Callithrix jacchus: one gene and its partners. Each later gene encodes a partner of the first gene's protein in a complex. Links are inferred from orthologs where the notes say so. Each region holds a gene or a part of one and is shown in the gene's direction. Other genes may lie near its edges.

The links.
Region 2: POLR2E (region 1) and TAF1C share a complex: the UniProt entries of both Homo sapiens proteins name them as parts of the pol I pre-initiation complex. The link is inferred for Callithrix jacchus from reciprocal best matches to the Homo sapiens genes POLR2E and TAF1C.
Region 3: POLR2E (region 1) and UBTF share a complex: the UniProt entries of both Homo sapiens proteins name them as parts of the pol I pre-initiation complex. The link is inferred for Callithrix jacchus from reciprocal best matches to the Homo sapiens genes POLR2E and UBTF.
Region 4: POLR2E (region 1) and RUVBL1 share a complex: the UniProt entries of both Homo sapiens proteins name them as parts of the PAQosome complex. The link is inferred for Callithrix jacchus from reciprocal best matches to the Homo sapiens genes POLR2E and RUVBL1.
Region 5: POLR2E (region 1) and TAF1B share a complex: the UniProt entries of both Homo sapiens proteins name them as parts of the pol I pre-initiation complex. The link is inferred for Callithrix jacchus from reciprocal best matches to the Homo sapiens genes POLR2E and TAF1B.
Region 6: POLR2E (region 1) and ERCC3 share a complex: the UniProt entries of both Homo sapiens proteins name them as parts of the TBP-based Pol II pre-initiation complex. The link is inferred for Callithrix jacchus from reciprocal best matches to the Homo sapiens genes POLR2E and ERCC3.
Region 7: POLR2E (region 1) and GTF2F2 share a complex: the UniProt entries of both Homo sapiens proteins name them as parts of the TBP-based Pol II pre-initiation complex. The link is inferred for Callithrix jacchus from reciprocal best matches to the Homo sapiens genes POLR2E and GTF2F2.

The regions. Positions count from the first base shown.
Region 1 is NC_133523.1:1,037,416-1,041,741, reverse strand, and holds the start of POLR2E (DNA-directed RNA polymerases I, II, and III subunit RPABC1), read left to right. Parts: upstream 1-1,506; 5' UTR 1,507-1,531; coding exon 1,532-1,588; intron 1,589-3,475; coding exon 3,476-3,650; intron 3,651-4,326. Other genes in the region: uncharacterized protein LOC144580922, read left to right, coding at 880-1,044, 1,191-1,441. UniProt on the Homo sapiens protein: DNA-dependent RNA polymerase catalyzes the transcription of DNA into RNA using the four ribonucleoside triphosphates as substrates.
Region 2 is NC_133521.1:41,830,420-41,834,711, reverse strand, and holds the start of TAF1C (TATA box-binding protein-associated factor RNA polymerase I subunit C), read left to right. Parts: upstream 1-1,433; 5' UTR 1,434-1,580; intron 1,581-1,883; 5' UTR 1,884-2,001; intron 2,002-2,343; 5' UTR 2,344-2,386; intron 2,387-3,450; 5' UTR 3,451-3,522; coding exon 3,523-3,657; intron 3,658-4,292. UniProt on the Homo sapiens protein: Component of the transcription factor SL1/TIF-IB complex, which is involved in the assembly of the PIC (pre-initiation complex) during RNA polymerase I-dependent transcription.
Region 3 is NC_133506.1:71,063,756-71,067,340, reverse strand, and holds part of UBTF (nucleolar transcription factor 1), read left to right. Parts: intron 1-1,758; coding exon 1,759-1,823; intron 1,824-2,103; coding exon 2,104-2,224; intron 2,225-2,581; coding exon 2,582-2,692; intron 2,693-3,028; coding exon 3,029-3,162; intron 3,163-3,287; coding exon 3,288-3,429; intron 3,430-3,585. UniProt on the Homo sapiens protein: Recognizes the ribosomal RNA gene promoter and activates transcription mediated by RNA polymerase I (Pol I) through cooperative interactions with the transcription factor SL1/TIF-IB complex.
Region 4 is NC_133516.1:74,053,467-74,057,051, forward strand, and holds part of RUVBL1 (ruvB-like 1), read left to right. Parts: intron 1-1,707; coding exon 1,708-1,771; intron 1,772-3,152; coding exon 3,153-3,351; intron 3,352-3,585. UniProt on the Homo sapiens protein: Possesses single-stranded DNA-stimulated ATPase and ATP-dependent DNA helicase (3' to 5') activity; hexamerization is thought to be critical for ATP hydrolysis and adjacent subunits in the ring-like structure contribute to the ATPase activity.
Region 5 is NC_133515.1:105,072,565-105,076,149, reverse strand, and holds part of TAF1B (TATA box-binding protein-associated factor RNA polymerase I subunit B), read left to right. Parts: intron 1-2,995; coding exon 2,996-3,173; intron 3,174-3,585. UniProt on the Homo sapiens protein: Component of RNA polymerase I core factor complex that acts as a GTF2B/TFIIB-like factor and plays a key role in multiple steps during transcription initiation such as pre-initiation complex (PIC) assembly and postpolymerase recruitment events in polymerase I (Pol I) transcription.
Region 6 is NC_133507.1:37,211,296-37,214,880, forward strand, and holds part of ERCC3 (general transcription and DNA repair factor IIH helicase/translocase subunit XPB), read left to right. Parts: intron 1-1,193; coding exon 1,194-1,312; intron 1,313-3,063; coding exon 3,064-3,216; intron 3,217-3,585. UniProt on the Homo sapiens protein: ATP-dependent 3'-5' DNA helicase/translocase. Binds dsDNA rather than ssDNA, unzipping it in a translocase rather than classical helicase activity. Component of the general transcription and DNA repair factor IIH (TFIIH) core complex.
Region 7 is NC_133506.1:164,327,227-164,331,611, forward strand, and holds the start of GTF2F2 (general transcription factor IIF subunit 2), read left to right. Parts: upstream 1-1,563; 5' UTR 1,564-1,708; coding exon 1,709-1,774; intron 1,775-4,385. UniProt on the Homo sapiens protein: TFIIF is a general transcription initiation factor that binds to RNA polymerase II and helps to recruit it to the initiation complex in collaboration with TFIIB.

The DNA.
Region 1 (4,326 bases):
TTCACCATGTTGACCGGGATGGTCTCGATCTCTTGACCTCGTGATCCACCCGCCTCGGCCTCCCAAAGTGCTGGGATTACAGGCTTCAGCCACCTCGCCCGGCCTAGTCCCATACTTCTTGACCTGAGACTTATCAGTAAGATCAAAGATCACATGATTATATGTCTGTGATTACATATGAATTATATGTATGTGATTATTTTACGGTTATATATAGGAATAACTACGTTACAATATCTCTAATTCTTTTCTAATTCTGTGTTTATATGAGAACATGCTGAGGCTTCAGACCCTTGCCTCAGTGCTTGCAGGGTTCCCCCCTACAGCTGACAACTTAAAACTTTTCTAAACAGGTAAAAGCAATGGAGAGCTGGGACATGCCTGTGAGCACGTCCAGCACAGATATCTTGGTTAAAGTACAAGGACACAGGATGTACTAATTGCCTAGAAGTATGGCATATCTAACACCTGCATAGGACAGGGCTTAACAGTTATTAACACACTTATGATTTATTCTTTTTTTTTTTTGAGACGGAGTTCCGCTCTTGTTACCCAGGCTGGAGTGCAATGGCGCGATCTCGGCTCACCGCAACCTCCGTCCCGTGGGTTCAGGCAATTCTCCTGCCTCAGCCTCCCGAGTAGCTGGGATTACAGGCACGCACCACCATGCCCAGCTAATTTTTTTGTATTTTTAGTAGAGACGGGGTTTCACCATGTTGGCCAGGACGGTCTCGATCCCTTGACCTCGTGATCCACCCTCCTCGGCCTCCCAGAGTGCTGGGATGACAGGCGTGAGCCACCGCGGCCGGCCTGATTTATTCTTTAACAGGAAAGGAAACTGTAAAAAGGAACCTTTCTACTTCCCACTGTTGGAAATAGATGGTCGGTGCCACAGAGAAAAATCAGCACTGAGACAAAGGCTCTTTGAGCAACGCAGTTTTGACTTCGTGGACTGCAGGAGGGCTCCTCTAGAGAGATGCCCAGCTCTACCCGAGCCTCCCAGTTATCCGTCTAAACGAGGGACACTTCACTGCCATCGCACAGGTAGGGAAACTGAAGCTCACTGGCACTAAAGGGGACATGGGCTGGATACAACAAAGAGAACCCTGTAGACTTTGGTGTACAAATATTTACAGTTCTCACTAGGCTGACCGCCCCTAGGAGCTGAGCTGCCCCTTGGCCCCATCTAGGCCTCAGTTTCCCCACCCACGCTCCGGCCCCGCTCCGTGGGATTCTAAACCGCTGCCCCAACGTGGGAGTTGAACGGAAACTACAACTCCCGAGAGGCCGAGCGGCCAAAGACACGGGAGAACTGCGGAGCGAGAGTCTCGTGCAGCCAACTGTCGCGCTCGTAAGGCTCGGGTTGCCCTTGGCGCTGCCGGTCCCAGATGTTGCTGCAGTCAGGCCTTCGCGGAAGGCAGCCCAGCTCCGGGCGGGGTAAAGCGAAGGGGACCTGACTGGCGTTCGGCGCAGGCGCAGTCCGCGCGAGACGTCACTAGCGCATGCGTAGGGGGTGCGAGTGGCGACCGCCATGGACGACGAGGAGGAGACGTACCGGCTCTGGAAAATCCGCAAGACCATCATGCAGGTCAGCCGCGCGCCGGGCAGCTGTTTAGAACCGTGGGGTGGGGCCGGGGGCGCAAGAGGTGGGTGCAGGGGCACGAGGTGGGGTCGAGCTCGGCCTCTTGGCGTAGTCCCGTCGGAGCAGCAGCGATGAAGGGGCGGGCGGTGACGGGAGGCCTCGAGGCCGCCGGGGTTCTCAGGCGCTGGGCCCGACCTGAGCCGGCAGCGGGGAGGGGGATTTCGGGACGTTTGGGTGCGGGAGCTTAGGGGTGGTCGGGCGGCTCGGGCCTGGTGCGGCGCGCGTGGCGGCAGGAGGAGGAGGAAGGGGCGCCCCCAGACCCTGCCCCGCTCTGTGGTTCCGCGGCGCCTTTTGTCCCCGCGTCCCGGACCCCCGGGGGTCTCCGCATCCGAGGTTGGCGGAGTTGGTGGTTGGGCAGCAGCGACCGAGCTGGGGCGGGAGATGGGGACGTGGAGCCCGGAAGCCGTGCCTCGGGGCCTGGGGCAGACGGAGGCCGCGGGGCTGAGTCGGGTTTGGAAGCCGCGCGGTTCGGAGTCCGGCTCCAGCCTTTGGGGCCGTTCCAGAGCTTTCGCTTTGTCGTCCTTCCCCACCCATTGCCCTTGTCCTCAGCGAAGCCCACGCAGCCGGATTCTCCCTCCTCCGGGCCTCGCTGGGAGCCTGTAGTTCAGTTTCCGTCCTTGTCTTTTTTTTTTTTTTTTTGAGACGGTGTTTTGCTCTCGTATCCAGGCCGGAGTGCAGGGGCGCGCTGTCGGCTCACTGCAGCCTCCGCGTCCCGGGTTCAAGCGATTCTCCTGCCTCAGCGTCCCGAGTAGCTGGGATTGCAGGCACCTGTCACCACCCCCGGCTGAATTTTTTTGTATTTTGAATAGAGGCGGGGTTTCACCATGTTGGCCAGGCTGGTCTGCAACTCCCGACGTCAGATGATCTGACCGCCTGGCCCCCCAAAGTGCTGGGATTACAGGCCTGAGCCACAGCACCCGGCCCCCTGTCTTTTTTTCTTTTTCTCTTTTTTTTTTTTTAAGACGGAGTTTCGCTCTTGTCACCCAGGCTGGAGTGCAATGGCGCGATCTCGGCTCACCGCAACCTCCGCCTCCTGGGTTCAAGCAATTCTCCTGCCTCAGCCTCCCGAGTAGCTGGGATTACAGGCGCGCGCCACCATGCCCAGCTAATTTTTTGTATTTTTAGTAGAGACGGGATTTCACCATGTTGACCAGGATGGTCTCGATCTCTTGACCTCGTGATCCACCCGCCTCGGCCTCCCAAAGTGCTGGGATTATAGGCGTGAGCCACCGCCTCCGGCCCTTTTTTTTACCCCCCCTAAAAAAAAGACAAGGGTTTTTCTCTGCCTTCCAGGCTGCAGTGCAGTGCTGCAGTCATAGCCGGCTGCATCCTCAAATTCCTGGCCTTAAGCAGTCTTCCTGCCTCAGCCTCCCTAGCACTCAGATCACAGTTCTGAGCCTTCGAGCCCGGCTTCCCTCCCTGTCTTTAGGGTCTCTCTGAAAAGTGGTTTGGAGGGCTGGGTGTGGTTGCCAGGTTTGTGCCCTGCCAGGTTCCTGTGAGGCTGGGCCCTGCAAGCCTCTCAGGATCATACTGGTCCCATCCTGTGGTGTGGCTGTGGGGGTAGGGTGGCTGTCCCAAGGCTGAATGAGTGTTCAGCCTTCTGTCCTCTGCAGCAGCTGCAGGTCTGACTTCTGGGTCATGAGATCTGGCCCCCTTCCTCCATCTGCCCTGAGGTCAGCTGGCTCGCTCTTTTTTTTTTTTTTAAATAAAGGGGTTTCACCATGCTGGTCTTGAACTCCCGACCTCAGGTCATCCGCCCGCCTTGGTCTCCAAAGTGCTTGGATTACAGGCGGGAGCCACCACACCCAGCCACCTGGCTCTTTCTTTCTGCAGCTGTGCCATGACCGTGGCTACTTAGTGACCCAGGACGAGCTTGACCAGACACTGGAGGAGTTCAAAGCCCAGTTTGGGGACAAGCCGAGCGAGGGGCGGCCGCGGCGCACAGACCTCACCGTGCTGGTGGCACACAACGATGACCCCACCGACCAGATGTTTGTGTTCTTTCCAGGTGAGCAGCACCAGCTGAGGAGCCAGCTGCCAGCATCCGCCTCCTGCCCAGCTCCTGTCCCTCTGCCCAGTCTGGGGGAAAGGCTCCCCTCCCCTTCCTTGTTTGGGGTGATGCTGTTGACGTCTGATCTCTCTCATGCAGCATCTTTCTAGTTTCCCTCTTATCAGTCCCCTTCTCTCTTCCCTGACCATTTCCTCCAACCAGGATTGTCACGTGGGCCTCTCCACTTACCCCAGCCCCCCATGACCTTGTGTCCCTCAGCTCCCCCATCCTGGCCACTGGGTGCCCTTCCAGCTTCTTGGCCTGGCCTAGGAGGCCCTATCCAGGTCAGAGCAGCCTCCTTGTGAGCTGCGGCCCTGGCCGCCCTAACCCGCCCCAGCCCATTCCCCGCCCTGTCAGCGTCTGCTCTTTGTCCCTCAAGATTGTGCGGGGGACTCTTTTCCCGGGTCCCCTGGGACACTTGGTGTCAGCACTTTCTCTGTGGAGTCTCCCCCACCTGTCTGCCTCCCCATTGTGGCTCTAAAGCCCTCCGAGGTTGGGGGACTGAGAAAGCCTTATGTGCATAGCCCAGCACCTAGAATCAGTGTGGAGGATGGAGCCTGTCTGCTTAGTGGACCTGGTGAGGCTCTTTTTTTTTTTTTTTTTTTTTTCTTTTTTTTTTGAGATGGCGTTTCGC
Region 2 (4,292 bases), on another chromosome or scaffold:
AGCCATGATGATACCACTGCACCCCAGCCTGGGTGATGGAGTGAGACCATGTCTCAAATAAACAAAATAAAATAGGAAGATGATTATCCTGAATTACCTGAGTGGGGCCACTGTAATCACATGAGTCCTTATGTGGGAAAGAGGGAGACAGAGAGTCAAAACCAGAGAGAGAGCCTCATGAGAAGGATTCGACTGGTACTGCTGACTTTGAAGATGGAAAAGGGTCATGAGCCAAGGAATGGAGGCAGCTTCCAGAAGCCAGAAAAGGCAAGACAGTAGACTCTTCCTCAGAGCCTCCCAAGGGGAACACAGCCCTGCCGACATTTTTAGTCCAGGTAAAAACTCCCAGATAAAAATGATATAGGCCAGGCATGGTGGCTCACGCCTGTAATCCCAAGACTTTGGGAGGCCAAGGCGGGTGGATCACTTGAGGTCAGGAGTTCGAGACCAGCCTGCACAACATGGTGAAATCCCATCTCTACTAAAAATACAAAAAGTAGCCAGGCATGGTGGCATGCACCTGTAATCCCAGCTACTCAGGAGGCTGACGCAGGAGAATTGCTGGAACCCGGGAGGCAGAGGTTGCAGTGAGCTGAGATCACGCCACTGCACTCCAGCCTCCATCTCAAAAAGAAAAAGAAAAAAACTATAGATGACAGTTGGAGAATTTGGAAATTGATTCTTTAAAGCAACTGTTCTCCAAGTGTGGGCCTTGGACCAGCACCATCTGGGAACTTGCTAGAAATGCAGACGCTTGGCCTGCATCCCAGATCTACTGAATCAACAGCTCAGGAGGCAGAGGAAGGCTGAAGCAAACTTGCCACAAGCCCTCCAGGTGGAGCTGAGGCTCACTCAAGTTTGAGAAGTACTACGTTAGGATAACGGTGAGGTTTATGACTGGATACTGGTTCTTAAAGCATGACCCCCAGATAAGCAGTCTCAGCATCACCTGGGAACTTGGGCAAATTATCAGACCCCACCCCAGACTCACCCAACTGGAGACCGTGTTTTAATGAGCCCCCCAGGTGCTTCTGCTGATGCACACTTGCCAGAGTTTGAGAACCACTGCCTAAAGCTCTCCCTGCCTGACCAACCCTTGCAAAGCCTCACTCTCAGGAGGCATTTGTACTCTTATTTATAAAGCCTGCTTCTTAGGATTTAAGAACAATCACTAAGATACCTACTTATTAATACAGTGCCTGGCTTATAGTAGGTGCTCCGTAACAGTTCGTTAAATGATTAATACAATACAACACCGAGGAAATTGGTGAAGCAGATGTGGGATTCGAACCCACAATCACCCAGCCTCCACTACTGAGACTCCAGGGAGCTTTATTTTCGCCGCCCACGCGCCGCCTGAACGCCGGGTCCGCCAAGACCCAATGACGCCTGACTGGGAGGCGGGACTTCCTGCCTTCCCAGGAGGCACTTCCGGTTCAAACGGTAAAGCCGTGAGTGGCCGCGGAGGGGCTGAGTGCCGGCTCTGTGGTTCTGTCTGAGGTTTCCCGCGTGGTGTCGGGGTCGGGCGAGCTTCACGCCGCGGCCCATTTTCTTGAAAATCACGATCGGACCCGGGCCACGTAAGTGCATCTGCCTCCTCCGCGCGGACTGGGCGTGTTCGGGAGGAGTGCACCCGCAGATGGAGGAGGAGAGAAATCCCCGAATCCCCCGTCCCCGGCCTGGCGTCAGTGCGGAGTCCTGAAGCCTCGGAAGTCTAAAGGGTCCTGGGGAGCCTGCAGCGAGGGCGGGAAGCCGGCTAGGGAAGTCGAGGCTGCCTTGTGGGAGGGCTTTTGCGGGGTCGTGCGCTCCACCTGCGTAGGATCGTTTCAGGCTGTGCGGTTCCGAGGGAAAATCCTTTTGTTTCTGTTTTATTTTTGAGACAGAGTCTTGCTCAGTCACCCAGGCTGGAGTCCTGTGGCATGATCTTGGCTCACTGCAACCAGTGCTTCCCGGATTCGAGCGATTCTCGTTCTCCAGCCATCCGAGTAGCTGCGATTACAGGTGTGCGCCACCACGCCCGGCAGATTTTGTTATTTTTAATAGAGACAGGATCTCACTATATTGGCCGGACTATATTGGCTCAAATTCCTGGCCTCAGGTGATCCGCCCGCCTTGGCCTTCCTAAGTGCTGGGATTGCTGCAGGAGCCACGGCACCTGGCCAAAGGGAAAAGGTTTTTGTTTAGTGAGATCCTAATGCCAGCCTTCGCGTTTCGGTGCATGGGAGAGCAGTGGTTCAGAGCTCTGCCTCTGAATCAGGTGCGAATCAAGCCTTGGCTGTGGCACCTTAAGAGCTGTTGTACTGAAGTTCTTGCAGAGCCTTCGTTTCTTGAATTCCGTAACAGGGACGGCGATAGAAGAGGAAAACGTTTAGCAAGTGCCTGACAGGTAGATGCCTGGCGCTTGGTCAGTGAGCTCTGCTGTTATTTCTGCCCGTTATTTTTGCTAATTAAAAAGGAGGGATAACATGGCCACTCAAACTTCCAGAGGACTGTGGAGTTTTGTTGTGTTTTTTGGTTTTGTGTTGTTTTTTTTTTCAGATGGAGTCTTGTTCTGTTGCCAGGCTGAAGTGCAGTGGTGCCATCTCGGCTCACTGCAACCTCCGCCTCCCGGGTTCAAGCGATTCTTCTTTCTCAGCCTCACAAGTAGCTGGGATTACAGGCATGCACCACCCTACTAGCTGATTTTCTATTTTTAGTAGGGATGGGGTTTCTCCGTGTTGGTCAGGCTGGTCTCAAACTCCTGACCTCAGGTAATCCACTCACCCGCCTCAGCCTCTGAAAGTGCTGGGATTACCAGTGTGAGCCACCGCGCCCGGCCCCTTGTGATATAAATTTATTTTTATTCAACCCATAGTGCATTTTCTGTGGGGTCACTATGCTTGACAGTAGGAAGACGATGATAGATGCAGTCCCTGGCTGTGGAGTAACTCGAGCTTTATCTTGGGAGTGTGTATAGTCTAAATGTGTGATGACGGGGCTTAGGAGCTGTGTGAGAGGCTGCCCCCACCAGCAGTCTGGTCCATCACCGCTCTCCACCTCGCTCACCCTGCGGCTGCCTCATTGTGTGAGAGGCTGCCCCACCAGCAGTCTGGTCCATCACCGCTCTCCACCCCGCTCTCCACCTCATTGTGTCTCATACACGTCACTGCTCCAGGATTTTCACACTTGCTGATGGTTCTGCCTGGAACCCTCTCCCCAGCTGTGTACATAGCTCTGTCCCTCACTAAGTTCAGGCTGTGCTCAATGCCACCTTCTCAACAAGGCTTTTCCTGGCTGGCTTTGCTGAAACAACACCCTGGGCCTGTTAGCAGATCCAGCTCTCCTGGGTGGGTGGCTAGCTTTAATATAGTTCCCATTACTGCTTGGCGTTGGGCTACATACTCATTCGTTTTTTATTATCTGCTTCCTCAAAGAACATATGCTGCTCATAGTGCCCTTTTCACTCCTCAGGAACCGTGGCACCCCTCACCAGCTTCCAGTCTCTCGAGGTGGCCAGTGTGCTGCTTGGTCCTTGTTCCCAAGATGGACTTTCCCAGCTCCCTCCGCCCCACATTGTTTATGACCGGCCCCCTTGGTCTGAACGATGTCTCTGACCTGTCCATGTGCAGCTGGCAGAACGTGCTGACTCAGCCAGAGGCCCAGCCCCAGAACTTGAAGGTAAGGATGGAGGCAGGGGCCCTGGCAGCTCCAGGGTGCACCCCTTCCCTGGTTCCCCCATCTAACATTCACCCCAGTTGACAAGGCCACAGAGTGGGGTGGCATTCTCACGAGTCTGCTGAGACACAGGCTGTGCCACCTTCTTGGGCTACCCTGCCATCCCTAGACGGATGCCCCCACTGTGCCAGATTCCTTATGAGGTGCTGGGAATGCTGTGTCAGTCAGCCAGCTGACCTCCTGCTCCTGGCACAGAGAGCTAAGTTGAGCGAGAATAAACAAGTGAACCTCATTCAGCGGATAATGTGTTTACAAAATGTGATCAGAGCTTGGAGTGAAACCGGAAGAATGCTGAAACAGCGTGGTGGGATTGGGAGAGGGAAGGATAGACCTGCCAGGGTTTCTGGTGCCTCTGGAGGGACACTGGCTCTTTGCTTGGAATCCTCAGCCACCTGGTTCCCCTTGGAGATACCCTGTCTAGAAATGGAGCCTGGCAGAGGCAAGCGGGTGAACAAATAAAAAGAGAGAGTGGAGCAGGGATTTGGGGGATGGGAGTCAGGGATGGCCTCCTTACGAGGGAGGGTCTCACCTCAAATTGGGGCTTCTCTGGGAGTCTGGTTTGCTACCTTTTTTGTCCC
Region 3 (3,585 bases), on another chromosome or scaffold:
CTTCCTTGCAGAGGTCGGGCACTGTCTCAGACCATCAAAGCATTAACCCTGAGCAGGGGGTTGCCCAGGCCTCCCAGGCAGGGCTAGAAGCAGTCACACACACAGCTCAGGGGTTCCCTCCTAGAGATAGGCAGCAAAACACTGGAGGAGCCTGCAGATAGGACACGAGAAACATGGGATGGGGAGAGAGGACCCAAGGAAGAGACATTGGATGAGGAGACAGCCAGGGATAGATGGGAATGACAGCAGGAAAAACAAGAAGCACATCTGCTTGGCAAGGAAACAAAGTCATACACAGCCAGTTCTCAAAAGATGACGCTGGCAGCCACCACGCTGTGAGTAGCCCTCTTTCCTGGTTGGCATACCCTCGCTGCGGATTCACATGCGCATGGTGCTGTACCCAAAAAGAAGCCAGCTGTCTGCAACCTCTGCCCAAGCAGAGCAGGGGTATGGAGTGCTGGAACTGTTCTTGGCCCTTTTGATGAGGATGTTGGACAGTTGACCACACATACCCAAATACTCTCATGGGATGGGAGGGAGAGGCCAAGAGTCTGAGAGCCAGGGAAAGCCAGAAGAAACCGGTAGAGTGGACGAGGTGCTGGCCTGGGGGACACAAGACTTGGGCCTGTTCTCCTGGCTCTGAACTCGCTGTGTATGGGGTCTTTGGTAAGTCACTCCGCTTCTCTGGGCCTGGTCTTTATGTGAGGTGAGCCAGGTCTGTGTGGTGCCCTCCAGCTCTGAAACTATTTTGTGAGGAGGACTGAGCTTGGGGAAGAGGAGGCTGAGCTCTGCTTCTGGTTTTCTGTGAGAACTGGAGGGAAAGGTGCTGCCTCTCTATGCCTGGTGCTTCTCTAAGAGGCAGGGGTTGGGCTTAATTGCCATGAGCTCCTGGCACCTTCCAGTGCCACTCTTGTGAGCCTATGAAGGCAAAAGAAGAGATAGACATTATGTGGGAGCCAAGAAAGGAGGTAGATATGGAATAAAAAAAGACGGATTACAAGAGGGAGGCCATGGAGAGGTGGGCAAGGATGCAGGGAGGGAGGGAGGTGGGGGTGGGAAGGGGGTGAGGCTGAAAAGGGGGTGATGAAGGGAAGTCAAGTGGTGGGAGAGAATGAGTGGGCTGAGGGAGGGAGGGAGGGTTGGAGGATCCAGACAGCTGGGATCCTGGAGAAAAGGAGGAAGGTGATGGTGTCAGAACTGGACAGGAAGGCGCAGGGCTCCTGGCCGTGGCTTGTATTGTAAGAACTCTGGGTTTCCCTCCACACAGTAGTCTCCTCTCATACTTTGGAAACAGGACTCAGCCCAGCCCTGGTCCTATGTAGAGGCCACCTCCAGGGGTACAGGCTAATGTCAGCTGCCACAGACAATAAGAGAGTGATGGGAGCAGGGCCTGCACCTGACTCCACTGGGTATTTTGTGGTGGTGGAGAAATGGGTGGGGGAGCGCCAGCACTGCCACTGCGTACTGCATGACTGGGTAATGCCACGGCCCCCTTCTCTGACTCTCCCTTGCAAGGAGAGAATAGGATGTAGGATTTAATGTCTGGGTGACCCCTGCAGCTCCCACCATCTGTAGTAGAAGCCAGCAGGTCTCCTCTGTGATGAGTCCCGCGGGGAGGTGGGCAGGGTGCCAGCCTCCACCCCTGCACCACAGCATAGGAGGCCGCAGAGAGCGCACAAGGAGGGGTCTGGGTGGCTTTCTTAGCTCAGGGTGAGATATCCTTGGGTCCTGGGTGACCCCATCCCCTCCTCCCCTCAGATGAAATATATTCAGGACTTCCAGAGGGAGAAACAGGAGTTCGAGCGAAACCTGGCCCGATTCAGGTAAGGCAGTGGAGCCCAGAGGAGGGCTACGGGCACTGGGTACAGCTGAATAGGCTAACCCTGGCCAGAGCCTGGAGTTTGCCGTCTCTGAGGCATGGAAGAAGGATGGGTCACATGTGAGCCCTAGTGTGTCATGCTCAGAGGGGCAGGGACAGTCAGGCAGCCACCGTCCCACTGAGCCACAGCTGAAAGGCCAAGGAGGCTTGGTGGGTGGGGCAGCTAGCTTGGGTCTGCCCTGGCAGCATCCCCTGCTGATCCTTGCTCCCCATGTCCTGGCTAGGGAGGATCACCCTGACCTAATCCAGAATGCCAAGAAATCGGACATCCCAGAGAAGCCCAAAACCCCCCAGCAGCTGTGGTACACCCACGAGAAGAAGGTGTATCTCAAAGTGCGGCCAGATGTGAGTGTCCGGCCAAGGGTTGGGGGTGGAGGATGCACGGTGGTGGCCAGGGGGGAGCCGCGCCAGGTCGGCTGGGCACGGTGCAGGGGAGCAGGAGAGGAGGCCCCTCCCCAAGGGTGGGCTGCATGGACAGGGCCTGGGCCAGCTGGCGTGCGAGCGTGTGCGTGCGTGCGTGCGTGTGTGAGCCAGTCCCCTTGTACCCAGGCGGGATCCCCGCCTCTCCACCTTCCCCTCCTGGCCTGTGGGGGACACTGATGTGACCTCCCATGGCCTGAGGGGGCGGGGGCCTCTGTGCCCCCTTCCCCCCCCCCCCCACTCCTGGCTGCTTGTGCGTGTCTGACGGCTTTTGGTTTGCAGGCCACTACGAAGGAGGTGAAGGACTCCCTGGGGAAGCAGTGGTCTCAGCTCTCGGACAAAAAGAGGCTGAAATGGATTCATAAGGCCCTGGAGCAGCGGAAGGAGTACGAGGTTAGGCTTCCGCTGCGCTCCTCCCCGTCCGGCTCTTCACGAGCCTCTGCCCTTCGACTCCGTGGCCACCGCACTCTGCGGAAGGTGTCACTCCCCATTCCTCTTTTGAGGGAGGGGCCTTCTGGGCCCCTTGCCTCTGCCCCTACCTTCCCCACCCCCCGCCCCATGAGATCTCAGGCTAGGGCAGGGCAGGGCACCACGTCTCGTGTGACACTGCTGACACACAGCCACCCCCAGCTTTGCTCCCTGCCTGCCCTCCCCAGCGGCTCTCCCCCTACCCCTGCCCCAGCTAACTCCACACCACGTTGCCCTCCGTCCCCCCACCTGGCTCTGCAGGAGATCATGAGAGACTATATCCAGAAGCACCCCGAGCTGAATATCAGTGAAGAGGGTATCACCAAGTCCACCCTTACCAAGGCCGAACGCCAGCTCAAGGACAAGTTTGACGGGCGACCCACCAAGCCACCTCCGTGAGCGCTGCCCTGGGGTGGGTGGGCGAGTGGGTAGCTGGGGAGTTGGGTCGGACTCTGTGGGCGAGGAGGCCTGCCGCCCTGCTCACTCACGGGCTGCACCTCTCCCCCCACGGCTCCGATAGGAACAGCTACTCGCTGTACTGCGCAGAGCTCATGGCCAACATGAAGGACGTGCCCAGCACAGAGCGCATGGTGCTGTGCAGCCAGCAGTGGAAGCTGCTGTCCCAGAAGGAGAAGGATGCCTATCACAAGAAGTGTGACCAGGTGAGCTGTGGCAGGGGCCGTCCTGCCTTGGGGTTTTGAAGCATGAGGTCTGACCCCAGCTTGGGCCAGTCAGTTCTTGGTGGCATATACCTCAGGTACCTGCTTCCATTTGGGTGTTGGGCTGGGCTGGGCTGGGCTCAGAGCTGAGCCCATCCA
Region 4 (3,585 bases), on another chromosome or scaffold:
ACTAGCCCTTTTGTATGTGCATAGAGGTCTGGGAATGAATTGTCAGAGTCTTGCTGCCTATCTTGAGGCAGACGGTCCTTTTCTATCTGTAATGTTCAGCAATTAACATCGACATGAGCTACGAGGGACTCCTTTGTTCCCATTCAAATGCTCTAGTCACAGATGATTTCATGTGTATTGTTTCTTATCCCAGCCAAGCCTCTGGCCCTGAGCTAGCCAGCTTCCTCTGCGGCTTTGCTCCAGCAGTGGGCTCATGCCTGGGATTCTCTGGGTGTTAATGGCAGGAGGGCAGGAGAGTTCTATGAGCCCTCTACAGGATTTCAGAAAGCCTGACAAAGCTCTTTCTTTCCCCCTGCTTAGCAAAAGCCACAGTTTTTTTTAAGCTTTGAGCTGGTACTGTTGTCTGCTTCTCAGGCAGATAGATACTTATACTGTGACTAATAAAATGTAGGAAAGGATATTTTCACTTTATGACACTTCTAGGAAATGTGTGATTAAAAGAAACAAGACACCAACTATTTCCTGCTGATGGTCTTCCAGTTTGGTTTCATCTTCATCCTAAAAGACGCACCTCTTCACTATTGGGGAATAGTTTGTTTTCTGATTTGAAATTTGATCCGTGAGTGTTTTGTTCCTTGGAGCTTTGGTCAAGACTCATCTTGGACCAATAGGTCCCCTTGGTTGGTGAAATGGCCATCCCCAAACTGACCTTCTGGGAGCCCTTAACTGAGAAGAGTGCTGGGCTGGGAGTCAGAAGTCAGGAAACATGTTGCTTCATCACTGACTGCATGGCTGATTTGTCACTCTGGGTCTCTTGAGTTTTCTGTGATTTAGGGTTCTGATTTTGAGTTTCCTCCTATGGGGCAAGGCTGTTTTGAGAACCAGACAGGAAACATTTGCTGCCTTTAGCTATTCAGCATTTAGTGAGCACCTCTGTGTCCCAGGGCCTGGTAACCAAGAGGTGATCACTAAGTGCTGAACAAATGACTAAACACTGACCTCTTCCTCTTGCTGACTGCACTGTTAGGAGCCTGCAGGAGGATGCAGGTGAGTGGTGAACCTCCTATGGAGTCAGCCATTCCACAGGGACAGACCCATAGTCTCAACAGCTCCAGGTTAAGTAAGGGCTAGGCTGATGCGAGCCTGTGGCCAAATCTAGTGAAAGGAGGCACAGCAATATAATCATGGTATGTTTATACTTACTCTTATAGTCTGTGTGTCCCCAAAGGCATGGGAACATTGGGAGGAAGTCATGAGGCCGGTTAGGGTTGATGCCCCCCAGAGGGCATTTGACTTGAACTTTAATGACTGGGAACTTCCTAGGAAGGAGAATGGTATTCCTGGAAGATGGAATAGATTTTGCAAAAGCATTGGGTTATAAAAGAGCTTTGGGGTATCCAGGGCAGGCTCATGGTCTTGTATGGTTAATCAAGGAACAAAGGATTGGAAAAAGATAAAGCTGGAGAAGGAGGCTGGGCAGGCACCACAGAGCTTATACTTCCCACGAAAGGATTTTGTTTGATTCTTACAGGTCCTGGGGAACCTCTAAAAATTCCTCTGTGTTTAGAAGCTCCTCAGGCTTTGAGGAGGGTTCTCCATACGTCAGAACCCCATGTTGACTTGATGAGTGGGATGCAGGGGGTGAGGCTTCTGTAGCTGCCTTAGAAAGCAGCACTGACTCTGACTCTAAAGTCTTCTTTTATGCAGGGAGGACAAGATATTCTGTCCATGATGGGCCAGTTAATGAAGCCAAAGAAGACAGAAATCACAGGTAGGACAACCAGCATGGCCTGTGAGCAAGGGGCAGGGTGGAGGGCCCTGTGTTCTGAGTTGCTCTTGAGGCTCTGTGAGCGCATCCACCCTAAGGAAATGCCTCAGAACAGTTCCTTCTTCCTCATAGTTCAGAGCTTGACTCTAGCCTAAGTCTCTGGTGTCATCTAGGCAGCCATACAGCACGTGTGTGCTCTCTGCCCCTCTGCAGTCACAGTTTTTGGCCCCTATGAGGCCCCAGAAATGTGGATTTGTGTTGCCTTGCTCTGCTGGAGCACAGGCTCTGGAGCCTTGGTGCTGTCACCCTCCTCCCCAGTAGAGTGCAGGGCAGCTCCACAGATCAGCTCCACACACTACCCTGCCCAGTTTGTGGGCACTTCCCAGAGCTCCATGAGGGACACTGCTGCTGCTCCCATGTGAACCTTTATTTTACCCTGCTGCTCTTCCTAGCTTTCCTGTTTTATTTTTATTTTTCTAATTCTACCTACAGTTCCATCATCTTAAGCTGGTAATTAAATATTAAAGCAAATATTATCGTTAAAATTTTAGCCAGGGCAGCAATCTGAAACCTTTCTGTTCGGGTTTGTCAGGAGCAGTTTCTTTGTTTTCATATGGTTTTCGGTGTGCATCCCCTTTGGACAGTTCCTGCCTCGTGCCTCTGTTGGAAGACGCTGCCTCAGATCTTCCAGTTCTCTGTTTGTGAGCTGCTCCTTCCTGATCATAACACAGGAGCTGGTTTGGAAAATAAGTACTGAGACCTTAGCTGGGTTGTGTAACTTTTGAGAGACTCATCCCTCTAGGAGCTCTGAGATTGGACCTTTCTTCAGAGCCTTTCATTCCTCCAAGGTTTCTGCTCAGGATTCTAAAAGCACCCACTTCCTTAGTCCAGGCACTTGATTGAAAGTTAATTAAACTAAGCATTGTTATGTGGGACCAAAAGAAAGGGTCATTTACTGAGTATAGAACAGGAAAATTTGCATGTGAAAACGCATTTCACCCAGGGCTCCGAAACTCCAATGTCTCCCAGATCAGACAGAGCTAGATTGGGTGTGTGGGAGGTGATAAGGCATGGTAGTCAGTGAGTGTGTGCCATGAAGGGATTCCCATGCAGAATACCCATGCAGCCTTTTCACATTTAACCAAACACATCTTTTGGGGGAGGCTGCCAATTCTGTGACCTTTAGGTGTGATTATCACTGTGTTCAGATGATGACACTGAAGCCTGGAGTGGGGACACACCCTGCCTGGGGTCAAATAGCTAGTAGAAAAACTAGGCTGCCAACGTGGGTTTGGATTGAATTTAGGTTGGGGAGAAGAGAAAAGGTGATAGTCTCCCCCAGCCTGGTGCTGACCTTGCCCCCGCCCATCCTTGCATCTCCTAGACAAACTTCGAGGGGAGATTAATAAGGTGGTGAACAAGTACATCGACCAGGGCATTGCTGAGTTGGTCCCGGGTGTGCTGTTTGTTGATGAGGTCCACATGCTGGACATTGAGTGCTTCACCTACCTGCACCGCGCCCTGGAGTCTTCTATTGCCCCCATCGTCATCTTTGCATCCAACCGAGGCAACTGTGTCATCAGGTAGGATGGCTGCCTGCCAGCCACAAGGCTTTTTTACCTTCCATCTGGGCTTATTTGTTCCTCAGGATCTCTCTAAACTCCATGAGTCAGGACGGGGATGAAGGGAGGTCCTGTTGTTTTTGAGGAAAAATGTGCCAATTGGCTTGGCTCTGGCCTCATTTCTAGTCACCAGAGGCAGCAGCTGCTCTGTCACTCATGTTGAGGGTCTCCCACATGGTCTCTGGGGTGTAACAC
Region 5 (3,585 bases), on another chromosome or scaffold:
AGGGAAGCAGTTCAACATCTTAATTTTTTTTTTTTTTTTTTTTTTTTTTTCCAAGACAAGAGGCTTAGTCACCCAGGCTGGAGTGCAGCGGCACGATCTTAGCTCACTGCAACCTCCACCTCCCGGATTCAAGTGATTCTTCTGCCTCAGCCTCCCCAGTAGCTGGGATTACAGGCACCTGCCACCATGCCCAGCTAATTTTTATATCTGTAATAGAAACAGGATTTTGTCATGTTGGCCAGGGTGGTCTTGAACTCCTGACCTCAGGTGATCTGCCCACCTCAGCCTCCTAAAGTGCTGGGATTATAGGCATGAGCCACTGCGCCCAGCCAAGATGCTAATTTTAAAAGAAGATAAATATTTCAAGAAATGTCCTTTTTTAGAATAACAGTACTAATATGGTTTTGATTTTTAAATTATCTGAGAAGAGACTATAGCTTCTACAGCCCAATATAGATAATGGTTAAAATTTTAGTGAATGTATTTTAAAATTAATTTTTTCCATGTTTGAATTGTATGTGTTTTAGTGCAGGAGTCCTATCACTGATTTCTCTAGTTTCCTCCATTAGATTAATGCACAATGTCTTGTACCTAGTAGACACTCAGTAAATGCTTGTTGAATTGTTAATTTTCTGTCTCCTAATCTTTCTGCATCTGAATGAAGCCCAGGAGTAAATTCAGGTAAAACCTGTGAATTAAAATTATCTTAACAGTATAATAGTGCAGATTCTCTGCCTCACAAAGACCTGCACTGTCTGGCCCTGCCAGACTCTTCACATTCAACAATAAAGCCTTGTTGGGCTGTTTGCAGTTCCTGAAAGCTCCGTCCCATCTTTGTCATAGTCTGTACCATATTGCATTCTCATTACTTACATGTTACTAAACATTTAGCAACTTGAAGAAAAGGACTGTGTCTGTACCTTGAGTGCCCAGAACACATTAATTGCTCGATAAATGTTTGGTGGAAGAATAAAACCAAGTGAAAACTTTAGCAAAGCTATCAGAATCTGGTAGATATGAAAATACTTTGATGCCATATTTTGAATTATCATTGTTTTATTTGTAGGTTTACAAAGCATTTTTACTCAGTGAAAATTTTTTACTTAAATGTTTCAAGAAAGACATTAATTTTATATTTAATTTATTCTTTATCATAAACATGTAATTAGTACCAATTATGTGTAGGTTGTAGCAGTTAGGAAGACAAAGCAAGATTGAGTCACCCTCAAGTTTCAGAGGGAAACATAGGCCGGGTGCGGCAGCTCACACCTGTAATCCCAGCACTTTGGAAGGCTGAGGCGGGAGGATCATGAGGCCAGGAGATTGAGACCATCCTGGCCAACATGGTGAAACCTCGTCTTTACTGAAACTACAAAAATTAGCTGGGCTTGGTGGTACGTGCCTGTAATTCCAGCTACTCGGGAGGACTGAGGCAGGAGAACCGCTTGAACCTGGGAGGTGGAAGTTGCGGTGAGCCGAGGTCACACCATTGCACTCCAGCATAGAGCAAGACTCTGTCTCAAAAAAAAAAAAAGAGAGAAACAAAACAATAAGCCCTTCATGTGTGCAGTAGACGGGTAAATGCCAGGAGACCTTCTTTAGCACTCAGAAGAGAGCCAGTCAAAGGAGGCTTGGTCTCCTATGTCTGTTCTTAGAGGAAGTCACTGATATAACCAAGTTCTGTAAAATGAGTGAGCTTCAGTCAGGCAAAGCCTGAGATGAGGAATGGGGGAAGAAACTGGCTTTCTAGGCAAAGGGGAAATTAGAATATGGCTTGTTTGGGGGAACTCTGGAGATTAGGCTGGGAGCTAAAAGTGTTAATGAGTTCATGAGAGCAGGGAAATAGATGATTGGCCCACAGGGGAGTAAGACTAGAGAAAGGGAGAGCAGTTTGAGTGTGACCTAAGCAGCAACAGTGGATGGGAAGAAAGGGGATGGATTGGAAGCAGTCAGCACTGAGCCAAGTACTCTAGTATATTCATTAATGCAGTCTTCCAATAGCTATGAGGCAGGTACTGTTCCTAATCCTATTTTAGATAGATGTTTTAGAAACTGAGGCACAGAAAGTTTATATAGCATATCCCAGGTCACAGAGCTCGTCAGTGATGGAGCGGGGACTCTAGTCCAGGCAGTTTGGTTCCGTAGTCTATTCTTAACCATGGTAGTATATGCCACATCGAGAGAATGGAATTAACAGGACCTAGTGACTGAATGTATGTAGGAGATTCAGTTCAATTCCATGCAACTTCATTATCTCTTATAAATAATGGCTGTCATACTTGAAATTGATTAGAGTAGCGTGTGGTCACATCTTAGATACTTGGATTGGGAAGTAGAAAAATTTGTTTAGTAACTTAAAGAGTTTTCAAAATCTGTTCACTTGAGGATAATCTCAGCTTATTCTCTTTATAACCCATTTTACAAGTGAAGAAACTGAGGCTAAGTGACTGTAATCCAAGAGTCACAAAGCTAATAATTGGAAAGCTTAAATACAGGTCCTAGGTTTTCTGGTTCCAAGTCCCACATTATTCAGTCTTGAGTAATAGGAATAGTCTATGCTGAACATATAATGTCTTTAGGAAAGCAGTATATCTAGTTAAACACATGTTGAGGGCTTACAGTGTGCTAGCCAGGATGCCAGTGCACGTACATTCCTAGAGAAGCTTTTGGTCTTATAAGGGAGTTAGTTTTGGGTGAGCACACAGTGCTATAGAAAAAACTGGTATGTGTCTGTCTGCCTGGTGCCAGGATGTGTCCTATGAATAGTAGATGTTTTAGGAAGTCAGAAGAGGGAATGATACACTGTTTTAAGATTCTACCATTCATTTTTTGCTATAGATGCCACGTTTTGGTGTTTTATTCACAAAATGTGTGTCTCTGAGTTCTAGCATAGTATCATGTTTTAAGATAAAGGTTATTTCATGGATATATACACTGGAATGGTCTAGTTAGCCAAAGAATTTAATTTACATTTTACCGTTTTGTTCTTCAACAGATGAAATGCATAGCTTAACTTGCCACGTGGTAAAAATGACTGGAATGGGAGAAGCAGATTTTTTGACATTTGATCCTATAGCTAAAGTGGCAAAAACTGTTAAGTATGATGTACAAGCTGTAGCTGTCATTGTGGTGGTCCTGAAACTGCTCTTTCTACTGGATGACAATTTAGAGTGGTAAGTGTATGTCAGTTTTATGACAAGTAACAGAGTTACTTAGTTTTTTCAGAAAGCTTTGAATGTCATGAAGACACTTTAGAAAAAAGAGCTAAAGAAAAACTTTGTACTATATTTACCTGTATGTTATCTCAATACAGAATGGAGACTCTCAGTCATTATAAAACACTGACTAGTAGTCACAATTATTTCTTACACAGTGCTCTGACTCAGCTGTTTGTCAGTTGTTTGATCGTGTTTTATTCCTGTTATTGTTTAGGTAGCAGTGTTCCTTGTTGTGCCACTAATTTCCTCGTTTTAAAGTATCTTCATAAATCCTGAAGAGTGGTTTAGCATTTTATCTATATCCCGTTAGGCTCCTGACATTATGTGTTCTCAAAGATTATTTTAGGAAGTAAAGGAATCTTAATAT
Region 6 (3,585 bases), on another chromosome or scaffold:
TGGTTTCTTTTCACCTAGCTTAATGTTTTCTTTGCTTGCTTTTTTTTTTTTTTTTTTTGAGACAGAGTCTTGCTCTACCTCCTAGGCTGGAGTGCAGTGGTGTGATCTTGGCTCACTGCAAACACCACATCGCAGCTTCAAGGGATTCCCTTGCCTCAGCTCCTGAGTAGCTGGGATTACAGGTGTGAGCCACCATGCCTGGCTTATTTTCGTATTTTTAGTGAAGACAGGGTTTCACCATGTTGGCCAGGATGGTCTCAAACTCCTGACCTTGAGTGATCCACGCCCACCTCTGGCCTCCCAAAGTGCTGGGATTAAAGGTGTGAGCCACCACACCCGGCAGCATAAAGTTTTCAAAAAGATTATCTATATTGTGGCATCTGTCAGTACTTCATTCTCTTTTATTGCCAAATAATATTCGATTCCATGGACATACCACATTTTATTTGTCCATACATCTGTTGATGGACATTTGGGCTGTTTTCACTTTTTGGCTCTTAGAAGAATTCTGCTATGAAATTCATGTACAAAATTTTGTGTGGATATAGTTTCATTTCTCTTGGATTTATGCCTGGAAGTGGAATTGCCAGGTCGTGTGGTTATAACATTGTGTTTAACATTCTGATGAACGGCGAGACTGTTTTCCAAATCAGCCACATCATCTTTGTTCTCAGCAGCAGTGCATGAGGGTTCTAGTTTTTCACAACCGTGACAACAATTTTAGTTATCTGCCTTTTTGATGCTAGCCATCCTCGTGGTGGTGAGGTGGTATCTCATTGTGGTTTTGAGTTGCATTCCCTGGTGATTAATGGTGTGGAGCATCTTTTCATGTGCTCATTGGCTATTTTTATATTGTCTTTGGAGATATAATCTGTTCATATTCTTTGTCCATTTTATAATTAACTTGTCTTGTTGAGTTTCAGTAGCTCTTTATATAACCTAGATACCAATACCCTATCAGACATATGCTTTTCAAATACTTTTATTCTGTGGATTGTCTTCACTTTCTTGGTGGTGTCCTTGGAAGCATAAAAGCCTTCTTAATTTGATGCAATCCCATGCCGGGTTCAGGTGGTAACCCCGAGTGCAGGGCTTTCCCACTGCAGTGCTTGCTTTTGAGCCTGGGACCCTTAGCTCTTGGCGTTTAAATGGCTAATGTCTTCTTTCTTGCCTTTTCTCACTTTTCCCTGCAGGGATGGTTGCAGAGGAGTACAATGCCTTTTTCTACTCACTGGTATCCCAGGACACACAGGAAATGGCTTACTCAACCAAGCGGCAGAGATTCTTGGTAGATCAAGGTTATAGCTTCAAGGTATGCATCCATTTGGCCTCGGGTTAGACTAGGACCAAGGCCTTCTTGGTATGCTGGCCTCCAGGAGAAGTGAGGGCCACTGTCAGCAGGCAGGCACTAAGCATTAGGGGATTAGGGGCCTTGCCTCAAACTCCTTTTGTCTCTGCATGAATTGCTGAGGGCAGCTGTGGGAAGTGTGCTGTCCTGGCAGGACTGAGGTGCTAGGGCACTATGGCCAGCACTGTGTGAGTGTGAGCCCTGCAGGGTTGCTTTCTCCGGGACCCCTTTCCAGGTGGCTAGGAGAGCTCTTCCTTTCATCAGCTGGTAAGCTCCAGGCCTTAGTGTGCCTCACTTTGGCTCCCAGACATAAGAGCCATCCCTGTACTACTAATCAGGTATTTTAATAATTGAGAATTGTAGAGCTTTGGCTAGCTTTCATTGGCTGAGGCATTTGCTTTCTTTTCTGTTACACAGATACTACGGTTCTGTCAGTATTATGGTGTCCAGAAGGGCTTTATATTTTGTAGCTAGATGGAGGGTTCTAGAAACAGGGGAATTAAATTCCCCCTGTGGTCCACTAAAAGGACATCCCTAGAACATCAGACTCCCAGGTTCTTGATTGCAAAAGACTGTAGGCTGCTTTTGAGGTGTATTTTCAATGTGTCTCTTTATGCATTGCTGAGAGTTTCCATTGTTGGCCTTAGGAAGACAGAGTTGTCTGGCCTCCCCTCTTTTAGTTACAGGTAGTGGCATTTTTCAGACCTCTCATGCTGGCCTAGAGGACAAGATGCTTGGGTTTTGAGCCCAGTTTTTGGAGGATTTGCATTGTGACCTTTTTATCCATCCATAAAAATCCCTGCTGGTAATAGCATTCCTACCTCCTGATTCCTGCTGAGCTCTGAGGGTAAATCAGAAAGAGCTACTCTGAATTCTTTGAAAGGTGACCTTGACAAAAAGGCACAATCCCATGCTGTAGTAGTTTGTGTTGGTTGGAGCTGTGTCCTCAGTGCTGCCTGTTGAGGAGGAGTGGTTGGAGTTCCCAGAGTCATGACCTGGAGTGGTTAGGCCCTGGGCAGATGTGCACGTCGTCTGTACTCTGGATACCTGGCCACCAGAACTCAGATCCTTACTTGTAGGAATTTTCCTTTAGTTAACATTATGAGAATTTGGAGGGAGAGTTCCCTTTACATAATCAACCCACGCTTTCTGCAGAGATAGGGAAGCCTCATAGTAAGTTATCCCCGTAGACATGAAAACCTAGTCTCCACCGTGCTGTTCTGTTTCAGAGAAGCTCTGTAAATATCTTCTTAATATCCTGTCGTTTTTTTTATGCTCATTCCTGCTGGAAGCCCCAGTTGCTGAGCACAGCAGATGCCAGGAACCTTCTCAGAGGGCCACAGCCTATGCCTTCCAGTCTCTTGTCCCTTCTTTTGGCTGCTCCAAGATGTGAAAGCTACCCAAAGAAGCCTTTTCAAGTCACTGAGATTCTTTGCTTTAATCTTCCATCCATGATCATTTAGATGCTGGGAGCAGGTTTCTCTGAAATTCCTGCATCTCTCTGGTCTTGAGATCATTAGTCAAGCTTCCTATTAAAGGCGGCTGCTGACACTGGTCTCTGGAATGCTAGGGAGGAGTTCTCCATTGTTGGCCACCACAGTGTGGCTGGGACTGGGGAGGGAAGTGACCAAGAGCAGGCAGACCCAGGAGAAGGCAGAGTAGGGCCAGGGGAGAGAGAGCAGAAGGGAGCATGTCTGCCGGCTTGGGCTTCGCAGGTGATCACGAAGCTTGCCGGCATGGAGGAGGAAGACTTGGCATTTTCGACAAAAGAAGAGCAGCAGCAGCTCTTACAGAAAGTCCTGGCAGCCACTGACCTGGATGCTGAGGAGGAGGTGGTGGCTGGGGAATTTGGCTCCAGATCCAGCCAGGTGAGTAAGTGGGTGAGGAGGCTCCAGGTGTCAGCACTCCCACAGGACAACATTTGTAGACACAGACATGTAGTCCTTCCTGGATCATCCATGGGATTTTTTGGAAAATGTTGGAAAACATGGAATTGATGACTAGAAACAGCCCTTGTTGCTCTTTCGGTGTGTGCCCCTTGAACTGTTGCATGCAGGGGAGCTCACAGGGACTCTGGCTGGTCTCCTGCTTTGCTTATACAGGTATTTGTCAGATCTTGATGTTGAAGCCCGGGTTGGCAAGCAGGTGACCCCAGCCCACCTTGGTGGTGATTGGAGGGAGCGTGATGGGCTGGGGTCACATAGTTCCCACACACAGGGCTGCCATCCCTGGCCGTG
Region 7 (4,385 bases), on another chromosome or scaffold:
ATTCCTTCTACTTGATTAAAGCTTAGAGCAGTTCCTTTCACCCACTTACCCTTTATATGTTTTAGGCCCTTTCCCAAGTTGTTGCACAAGAAGAAATCTTCATTTTCTACTTAAATTTTTTTTCTTTTTCTTGTTTTTAGAGATGGGGGTCTTGCTATGTTGACCAGGCTGGTCTCGAACTCCTGACCTCGTGATCCACCCGCCTCGGCCTCCCAAAGTGCTTGGAATACAGGCATGAGCCACCACACATGGCCGAAACTTTCATTTTCAACACACTCCCAGTCTCTCCCATCTTTCCTATTAGTTTTGCTAGCTAATTGTAGAGTTCTGACAGCTTTTCCTGGCCCTATGCTGAACATACGTAAAATTTCCTCAATTTTGTTCATGGCTCTGATGTATGACTCAAAAAATTACTTGCCATTCTTAACAATACCTTATTGTTTCTCTTCAGCGAATGTTCTTTCAACCAAAGCCTACTGAAATCTGACGATGTATCAAACACTGTACTAGACATTGTGGAGATAAAATGAATAAAGCACTATTTTTTATTTGTCAATTATACCTCAATAAGGCTCTTTTTGCCTAGGACCAGTTCATAGTCTGGAAAGCAAAGGCAGACATGTAAACATACATATTACAGTGCAGAGTGCTAAGTATCACAGCGTGATGTGAAGAAAAACTAATTTCTTCCGGGGGAGTTGATAAAAGGTGTCACAGGAAGTGACATTTCCGTTGGTCTTGAACTACAAGTAGGAGTTTGGCAACCAGAGGACAGGGGTGGGAATGAGGGTAGGGGTAAAACAGGGCATCTGAGGGAAGGGAATCCAGTGTGCAGAGGCTCTGAAATGACCGAGGAAGATTCTGACGTGTTCAGGAAAGTCTGCTGGGTTTGGTGTGGTTGGGTGGGTGGTGGAGTGATGGGTGGTGGTGGAGGGCCCAGTTGAAGCAGAAGGGTTGAATTTTATTCCAGAGGCAAGAAGAGAAAGAGAACATCGTTTACGCAGGGGAGGAAACGACCAAGTTTGTCTCTTACTTGTTCATTTCTTCACAGACCTCCGGGTTTTGGAGTCTGAGGTGCTCTGCTCGCTTAATCAGAAGAGCTCAGGCAGCCTCCGAGCTGAAACACCGCTTTCTTTTCAGGTCTAGAAACGGCATGTGTTCAGTACCAGGGCTACCCAGTCTGATCCCAGTGCCCACCTGTGCTAATGACGTTGGCCAAGGACGCCCATTTGCTACCCAGATCCTGCCCTTCAAATACTGTCTCTCTCTCTCTCTCCTCTCTCTGGCTAGGACTGGACATGTTCTGACAGCTCTTGTCTCTTTGAACCCCATTTTTTCATTCTGATAATCTTTTTCTTCAGTTATGCTGACCTTGTCTTTAAATACATTGCTAACGTTTTGGCTCATCCCAACCAAGTTTCAATCCCTCTGATAGACATCGCTGACAGCCACGCCCACCCGAGAAATTGCCGACACAGGAAGTTTGTCCGCAACAGGGCGCCGTACTGACGTAGTAATACGCAGGCGCAATCCCAGCTCCCGGCGGCGTGTTCCCCTTTCCGCGGGTTTCCGGTGTCCGGGCCGGTGAGAAACGCCGGCTCTTCACCTCTCAGCGCGGCTTAGCGCTTTGCTCCGGACGTTCGCTCCGCAGCCCTCCGGCTCCTGGGGTCGCTGCTACAGCCCGCGCGCCTCCACCAGCGGCAGACCCATGGCCGAGCGCGGGGAACTCGATCTGACCGGCGCCAAACAGAACACGGGAGTGTGGCTTGTCAAGGTAACGTTCGCTGCGCGCTCCTCCCAACACGAGTATAGTTTAAGTAACTTGAACCCATCCGGCTGCGTGCGCCTCTTAAAGTTCTTTTACGGCTGTCTCGTTAGAGCTTCACGTACTTTGAGAGGCAGGAGGCATTGCTGTATGTTTGCAGATGAGGAAATCCGTTTAGGCGCGCCAGTTACGAGTCTGAATCCACCTGGACTCGTCTCTTCTTCTCACGGCTTTCCTGGAGCCTCGTCCTGATGTCCCCGGTTTGGACGGTGCATTTTATCTAGGACCGAAGAATTCCTTGTGTCTTCTCTTGGTGAAACTGCTTTTAGCCATGAGCCTGTGTGGGGTAGTTGAATGTCTGTTTTCTGTACATTTTTCTCGGCGAGAAAGTAGAACCGGTCCATGCGTACCCTTAAAGTGTTGTGTTAGGTTGATGGTCCTTAATGGAGCTCCGAAAAGAGGCGAGACAGCTCTCAACTCGCAGGAGACGTCATTGGACTGGGATATTCTTTGTTTTTTTTTTTTTTTTTTTTTTTTTTTTTGAGACAGAGTTTCACTCTTGTTACCCAGGCTGGCGTGCAATGGCGCGATCTCGGCTCACCGCAACCTCCGCCTCCTGGGTTCAAACAATTCTCCTGCCTCAGCCTCCTGAGTAGCTGGAATTACAGGCACGCGCCACCGTGCCCAGCTAATTTTTTGTATTTTTAGTAGAGACGGGGTTTCACCATGTTGACCAGGATGGTCTCGATCTCTTGACCTCGTGATCCACCCGCCTCGGCCTCCCAAAGTGCTGGGATTATAGGCGTGAGCCGCCGCGCCCGGCCTGGAATATTCTTTTAGAGCACAATTGGGTCTCGTGAAACTGACCATCAGTAAGTGTTTTACGTAAAGACAGCGATTTTGGTTAGCTCACAGTGGGCACTACTCGTGCTTCACTGTTTCATGTTGGGGAGTGTTGTCTCCTAGGGGAGGCTCATAATACTTAGGCATATTCGACATGTGATCCTGAAACTCATTGAAACTTAAAATGTAGGGACTTTTGGTTTCTTAATGCTTTCGCTTATTTTATCACATGGCTGAGTTCTCGTCAATTATATCTAAGCGGTCTTCCTTGTCGGTCTTCCTAAAAGAGCTCCCTTATGATCATTTGCTAACATGACATATCCATGTTACATTCCTCAAAGCACTTTTCACGGTGTAGAGTGATTTTGTGTTAATATGTGAAAAGTTGGTTACCTTCGTCTTTCCAACACAAAATTGCATTCCGTGAGAACAGGATCTTTGCCTGTTTACCCAGAATAGTGTTTGGCACATGGTAATTATTCAACAAACAGGTGATGAATAAATGCCTGACCTCTCACTCTTCAACCCTTGCCTTAGTCTGTGGCACTCATTTGACTTATTTCAAAGCTCAGTATGACTTAAAAGAATGGATTAAATAGGCCGGGCACGGTGGCTCAAGCCTGTAATCCCAGCAGTTTGGGAGGCCGAGGCGGGTGGATCACGAGGTCAAGAGATCGAGACCATCCTGGTCAACATGGTGAAACCCCGTCTCTACTAAAAAAAAAAATCAAAAAATTAGCTGGGCATGGTAGCGCGTGCCTGTAATCTCAGCTACTCAGGAGGCTGAGGCAGGAGAATTGCCTGAACCTAGGAGGTGGAGGTTGCGGTGAGCCGAGATCGCACCATTGCACTCCAGCCTGGGTAACAAGAGCGAAGCTCCGTCTCAAAAAAAAAAAAGAATGGATTAAATAGGCATTTCTCGCTCCAGCAGCATGTTAATTGGAGGAGAGTCACTAAGGAAGAGATGATCCTTGCAGACTGAAGGAAAAAGCTTGAAAACATAGTGTGACTGGAGATGGTGCCGTTGTCCTAGGAGCATGGTAAATGCTCAATGTTTGCCTTACATGATTTGGATGGGTAGACATGGTGTATACCATGGGGAGTGGAACAGAAATGCAAGACTCAAAATACGTAATCGTGGAAAACATGGCATGTTTTGGCATGTTGTGGAAAACAGACCCTAGAGCAGAAGATCTGTGTAAATAAAGGTTGGGCCCATATACTCAGACTGTCATGTCATGAAGTGGAAATGTTCTAACTTTAGTTTACAAGGAAGTAACAAACTTTTTGGAGGACTTGAGTGAGGTAGCGACGCCAGGTATTCAGAAAAAAAATGTTTGGCAGTGTGCAGTACGAATTAGAGAGGAGGGCAACCAGAGTCACAATTAGAAAATTATCACAGGATTGGGCTGGGCCTGGTGGCTCACGCCTATAATCCCAGCACTTTGGGAGGCTGAGGTGGGCAGATCACGAGGTCAGGAGTTTGAGACCAGCCTGGCCGATATGGTGAAACCTTGTCTCTACTAAAAATACAAAAATTAGCCAGACATAATGGCACATGCCTGTGGTCCTAGCTACTCGGGAGGCTGAGGCAGAAAAATCGCTTGAACCGTGGAGGTGAAGGTTGCAGTGAACCAAGATCGTGCCACTGCACTGTAGCTTGGGCGACAGAGAGATTCTGTCTCAAAAAAAAAAAAAAAAAAATCACAGGATGCTAGGTACATGATAATGAAGCTTAGGAGTTAGGGAAACTTTGAGTAAAATTGTCAGGATTTGC